Linked DNA regions of Danio rerio. The protein of the gene in region 1 purifies or fractionates together with the protein of each later gene. This does not show direct contact. Links are inferred from orthologs where the notes say so. Each region holds a gene or a part of one and is shown on either strand. Other genes may lie near its edges.

What was found.
Region 2: the proteins of tsr1 (region 1) and ltv1 purify together in Homo sapiens (co-immunoprecipitation; 4 studies listed by BioGRID and IntAct, counting the BioPlex papers as one, with this or other methods). This does not show direct contact. The link is inferred for Danio rerio from reciprocal best matches to the Homo sapiens genes TSR1 and LTV1.

The regions. Positions count from the first base shown.
Region 1 is NC_133190.1:28,116,630-28,120,466, reverse strand, and holds part of tsr1 (pre-rRNA-processing protein TSR1 homolog), read right to left. Parts: intron 3,673-3,837; coding exon 3,492-3,672; coding exon of another isoform or gene 3,473-3,491; intron 1-3,472. UniProt on the Homo sapiens protein: Required during maturation of the 40S ribosomal subunit in the nucleolus.
Region 2 is NC_133176.1:57,344,300-57,347,483, reverse strand, and holds the end of ltv1 (protein LTV1 homolog), read left to right. Parts: intron 1-1,793; coding exon 1,794-1,907; 3' UTR 1,908-2,670; downstream 2,671-3,184. UniProt on the Homo sapiens protein: Essential for ribosome biogenesis.

The DNA.
Region 1 (3,837 bases):
TATACAGAATCAAAACAAACATACACAATCATGCATGTGATCAGATAAGAACAAAAGAAACACACCCCCCTCATTAAAAGTGGCTATATAGATTATTAATAATTTATCATTGTTAATTTTTGCTGTTTATTTTTCAAATATATTTCTGCTGTACGGAGACCCAGAAGAGACGTGATGAAGGGAAAAACTGGATGAGAGAAAAAAAAAAGAGTGATAGGAAAAATAAATATTTTTACGTTTTTGCGTCCCCTTGAAAAGATGCTGTTCCATAAACAATTCCTGTTCATACACTTCCGTTTCGCTGGGATTATCTCATAATTTAACATTCTATCCTTTTCTCATCCTATCATTAAGTATTTCCCCATGTTTTTAATCTTGAAACCATGTTGAAATTAATATAAAAATGTCTTCATTCTGCATCACGGGGTGCAGTGGGTAGCACGATCACCTCACAGGAGGAAGCAAGCAAGTGCTCCGGTGTACCTCACAGTCCGAGGACATGTGGCATAGGTGAATTGAATAAGCTAAATTGGCCCTAGAATATGTGTGTGAATGTGAGTGTATGTGTGTTTCTCAGTGTTGGATTGCGGCTGGAAGGGTATCCACTGGGTAAAACATGTGCTGAATAAGTTGGCGGTTCATTCTGCTGTGGCAACCCCTGACTAATAAATGGACTAAGCCGAAAAGAAAATGAATGGACGAATGTCTTAATTCACTTTCTATTCATCAAAGCTATTTGTCGATCATCGCCTTTTATATACACATGTATTCGCTGATTCAGAGGTTGCATAAGCACTAACAGAGGCACTCCGTGTGATAAACTGATCCCAAATCAGCTTCTGTACATGCAATTTAAAGTGACATCTCTGTTATCAAACAAGTGAAGAGCAGCAAATGCATCTCTCGTTTTGTTTTTGATAACAGAGGTGTCTCTTTATGAAAGCACAGATCTAAAAGCATTCGATTCGAATTAGTTGCAGGGTTCATAAACATTTTAACTACTTAAATTCCATGACTTTTACATGATTTTTAATACTTTTAAGTTCCTGACCTAATGTTTCATACAATGTCTACATATGCGTGGTAAAAAACAATACATGTTAAAATTTATTACAGCATATGGTAAAACAGCCAACACTCTATTTAGTTACAATTTATAATTATTCATTCATTTTCTTTTCGGCTTAGTCCCTTTATTAATCTGGGGCCACCACAGCAAAATAAACCGCCAATAGCCCTTCCAGCTGCAACCCATCACTGGGAAACACCCATACACACTCAATCACACACATACACTACAGACAATTTTAGCTTATAAAATTTCCCTACAGCGTGTCTTTGGACTGTGAGGGAAAACGAAGCACCTTAAGGAAACCCACACGAACACGGGAAGAACATGCAAACTCCACACAAAATGCCAACCGACCCAGCTAAAACTCGAACCAGCGTCCTTCTTGCTTTGCAGCGATACCCACTGCGCCACCATGATGCCCAATTTATATCTATGTAAAATGAATTTTAATAATGCCTACACTGCACTAATGTGAAAGCATGTAATTGGTCAAGGACAGAAAAGCAGTCAAGACAACTAATCGATATTCAAGTACAGATATCAGTTTTCCATAACTTTTCCAAAACTTTGTGAGTTTTTCTGATTTTCCAAAACTTTACCAGGCCTGGAAAATGCCATGTCAAAATTCCAAGATATTCCCAGGTTTTCCATGACCGTATGAACCCTGTAGTTGTGTTTAAAATAAAACATGCAGGACAGACAAGTTTACATATTATACACAATCGAATCCCAAAGAGTTCTGCACTTTAGCGCCTCTTTAAATGGTGTGTACAAAATCAGTTTATCATATGGAGCGCATCCATCAGTCAGCGCTTGTATATGCATTCGCTGATTCAGAGGTTGCATATGAAGGGCGATGATCGACGAACAGCAAGATAACGCAAAACATCTTTGCGAGGGAACGAAAAAATTTTTTAAATATATTTTCCTATAACTCTCAGCCAGTTTTTTTTTCTTTCACACATTTTTTTCCCCACCATCACGTCCCTTCCAGGTCTCCGTACTGCTGTACAGCAAAATGTAAAAACAAAAAAATGTATTTAAAATAACACAATCTAAATTTTATTCATATCGAAATAAAATTGCAAGAAATATTTAGTGTCTAAATTTCTTTCAAACATTAAGGCCACCATTTTTAGGCAAAGATGCTAAAAACCCGAACTAAATATGCTTTTTTTATTGCGTTTTAGTGTGTTTTTATTAAAGGTCACGTGAAATTTAAATGCAGTTTATTTAAATGTTAGTATCAGTATTGTTAGTTTTATTTAGTGCTTCAAAACAGTGAAAAAATTTGCGTTTAGAAGATATAAAACTAATATAAACATGTAAAGCTTGTAGTTTGTCACTTCTGCCCAAACGAAAAAACGGTTTTATTCACGTCACCTCATACTTCAGTTTCCCATCAAATCTTGACCAATCAAATGCTCTCTAGTGTTTCTAGTATCTAGTATCCGCCCCCTTAAAGACTCTTCTCATTTGATTTTCATTTGATGTGCTTGACCTCAAACATTCTCACTTGCAGCGCAATGATAAAACAAAACCCAATTGGCTTTTTTTTTTAAAGGAGAGGAGCTACACTACGTCCTGCTCTTCGTGTTTTGAGATTGTCAAACATGGAATAAAAAAATGCATATTCCAAAGCACTTAATTGTTAAAGCACTTTTAATATTAAAGACTACAATAAACCCTAGATTGCAACCTATAATAATTAACTGCTAAATATTTTTACATAGAATAATCAACTACTCAATTACAAATGTTTTGGGAAAACATAAATCATATGTAAAGCAAGTTTCACACTACCATCTAAATCAAAAGAAACAGATTCTACTCTTGTTTGTTGTTGAAATATAATTCATTAAATTTCCTTTTCCGAACAAACACATCACTAACAGAATAAGTAAATTAATAAATACTAATTGACCTTATTCTAAAATGTGTAAGTGCGCTCATTTCGATTTAGTTTCCTTTAGGAGAAATGACTAGGAACAATAAACAGCAGAAAACAGTCAAACTACTTGCCCTATAAACAAGTGTCCATGACTATACAGACAAAGCAGAATAATATAATAAGATGATATCAGTTTGCAACATCAAGCAGGGTAACAAGTTGTTTTCAACATTAAAAAGGAATGGAAGTGAATGAGACCTGAAGTCTTGGGCCAAAGAAATTCAAATGGCTGTGCCCGGTTGTACGCAATAAATAAGGTCAATGGACTAATATAGTGCAATTATTGCTCTTCTCCACAGAAAACCAACAAGACGATGTTTACAATATGCTTTATTAAAAATGTCTTTCTGTTGAGGGAAAAGGGAAGGAAATGCTTTATCAAGAACCCATGACTACCTGTGTCAAAATAATAGAATAATAGAAATAATAATAAAGTAATAAAATCTTACCTGAGATTCATTATCTCCATCCATTTCATCGTCCATCATCTCATCATCATCATCATCATCATCATCACAGCTGTCATCATCATCATCCCCATCATCACCACCATCCCCTTCCTCCTCAGCATTTTCATCAATAATCCATGTGGCCTGATAGTCGGATGTCCCCTTCGGTACCTTCATCACTCTCCTCTTCTTACTGGCCTCTGAATAGAAATTAAAAAGCACATTATTACAGCTTGTACATTATCAGGCCCTGTTTCCACCTAGTATTACCATCCATTTTCTGCAAATGCATCCAAGTGTAAACAGGGTTTGAGTGTTATTCACTATTAATTACTCATTTTTCTAGCTCCATTTAGGTCACTGGC
Region 2 (3,184 bases), on another chromosome or scaffold:
CCTCACGTGATGCATCACGCTAAAAACAATAACACTTAATATGTCATTACTAGATGATTAAGTTTGTTGCTAATAATGTAAATGCTAATGTTACAAATCCCAACTTATTGCTAGCATGTTTCAGTAGGCGGTATATTAGATGGTTCTAGGATAGTTGTTAGCATTAATTAGCTTGTTGCCTTTATCAAGCTAGTTGATTTTAGCTTGTTTAACATTTTTGTTAATTATTACTAAACATTAGTGTGGTTTTAACGTGTGTTTCTGCAAGAATTTGGATGTTTAACACATTTTAGCATGGATTGACTGTTAGCATAATTTATGTAACTTACTTTTAGGATGAGTCGACTTGTTAGCACGCAATGAATTCATTATGTGCTAGCATGTTTTAGCACACTGAGTATGAATGAAAATGGTATTTAGGTTATAAATTTTAAAAAAATTTAAGTTATTGCTAGCATGTTTCAGTAGGCGTTATGTTATATGTTAGCATGTTCTAGCTAGTTGCCTTTTTTCTCAAGGATTTGCATGTTTAACATATTGTAGTATAGTATAGCCTTTTTTTAATAGTTAGCATGATTTTATCATGTTTCTAGCATTTGTAGCTTGTTTTTAGAGTGAATCGACTTGCTAGTGTATTTCCAACAGCACATGTAATGTAACAACGTGCTAGCAAGTTTTAGCATATCGCTAGTATGATTGAGAATGTTATAAATGTTAACATGTTTTAACTCATTACTAGCATGTTTCAGTAGGCGTTATCTTTAGCATATTCTTGGTTAGTTGCCTTTTTTATCAAGAATTGGCATGTTTTAGCACGAAGTGGCTTGTTGCTGTCTTTTTGCTAACATTTTTTAATAAAGTTAGCCAGACTTGACATAATCGGTCATGTTTCTAGCATATGTAGCTTGCTTTCAGAATAATTCGACTTGTTGGAATGTTCCCAGTAGCACATGTAATGAATTAACAATATGCTAGCTTGTTTTAGCACATCGCTGGTATGATGATTGAATATGTTATAAATTTTAACATGTTTTAACCTGTCGCTAGCATGTTTCAGTTGGCGTTATGTTAGCAGGTTCTTGGCTAGTTGCCAGTTTTTTTTCTCAGGAATTTGTTTGTTCTTATGTTTCCAGAAGCACATGTAATTAATGAACAATATTCTAGCATGTTTTAGCACATTGCTAGTATGATTGAGAACGTTATAAATGTTAACATGTTTTAACTTGTTGCTAGCATGTTTCAGTAGGTGTTTTGTTTACACATTATAGGCTAGTTGCCAGCTTTTTCTCAGGAATTAGTTTGTTAGTATGCTTCCAAAAGCACATGTAATGAATTAACAATACGCTAGCATGTTTTAGCACATTGCTAGTATGATTGAGAACTTTATAAATGTTAACATGTTTTAACCTAAATTTGAACACGTTTTAAGTTATTGCTAGCATGTTTCAGTTGGCATTATGTTAGCACATTATAGGCTAGTTGCAATTTTTTTCTCAGGAATTAGTTTGTTAGTATGTTTTCAGAAGCACGTGTAATGAATTAACAAAATGCTAGCATGTTTTAGCGTATCGCTAGTATGATTGAGAACTTTATAAATGTTAACATGTTTTAACTTATGCTAGCATGTTTCAGTTGGCATTATGTTAGCAGGTTCTAGACTTGGGTCCAGGCTTTCTTTGTGATTTACCAAAGTTTATCTCTGAAGTGAGAAATATGTCGGTTATAATGGTCTTCATTGAGCTGAAAGTCACTAGCACACTAGCATTCATGTTTGCTTTACTTCCTTGCTTCAGGAGAGGAGGACCGAGAAGAAAGCAAACAAACTGGCGTTCAAACAGGAGAAGCAGATGCAGGAGAAACAGATGGTTCATTTAAGAGCAAACGTTCAGGGCATGAAGCTTTCATAGAGACTACAGGACCTTAGTGAAGACACTTCTGTTCACAGGCCACAAGGGTAACGATGACATCACTCACTGTACCTGTCCAGGACTACTATGTTTCTTGAGGCAGTTCTAAAAAACATTCTCTAACAGTGTTGCCATGGAAACATCGGAATGAATGGAACCTATAGAGATGGTTCCGTTTATTTGGTTCTACTTCAGTTTGACTGTTTAATGGTAAACAGTTAAACGTTCGCTATTAGTGTTTGTATAATATGTAATTATTATTCACATCCTACAGTTTATTTCAACCAATTATTAAAAAAAAGAATCAAGTATAATTTTTTACAAAGGAATCCCACTTTTATTTAAACACTCTTCACAAAAAACCTCTCCAGCATTGGCAGATTTATTCATCAGCTTAGGTCAGACTGTATGGCTTTAGTTTATTAACATCATGACACGCATCTGTTCTTCAAAGTTCATGGATTTATACAATAAAACATCTTTGACCTGAGATAACTTCCTGTTATTGTCATGGAGTGCACATGTGATGCTACATAGTGATCTGCTTGCATCAAGCTGGAAGTACAGTAATTATACGTTTCTGAGACTAAAGTAAACCTGAACATGTTTCATACAAGCTTGAAGATCATTCAAAAGCAACAGATAAAGGTTGTTTAATACAGGAGTTTTCCTTTTTTATTTATGCCGTAGACCACAGAATATGATTATCTGATCATGAGGAACTCCTGTCCTAAAATATAAAATACATTTGTTGTTGTAAAACTTCCCATTTCTGCTGTGAAAAAAATGAATTACAAATGGATATAAAGTATTCTTCTGACTATTTCGATTTCATTAGGTTATATTGTTATTGACAGTAGTGTATACTTGTATTTATTTGCATTTAAAATTCAATCAGTTAACATTTTAATCTGTATAGTTGAATTTAAGTTTAATTATATGCCACTTTTCACAGTAAAAATTGGTTAATAATAATAATAATAATAAATTGGGTTCAAAAGCAGCTTTACAAAAGGTGTGCATGAAAATTTTTTTATAGTTTATTTTATACAGTACATTTGTAATTGTGACCTGGATATGTTTTAAACTAGCTTGAAGATAAATGAAAAAACTGTCAACAACCCCTGCCCTAAAATATAAAAGGTTTTTATTTTCGTTGTTGAAAAAAAGTTCCAGTTTATATTGTGGAAATTATTGATATAAAATATTTAGTAAAGAATATTTAGATTGAATCAGGTTATATTATTATTGACAGTAGTGTAAACCTGTATTTGCCC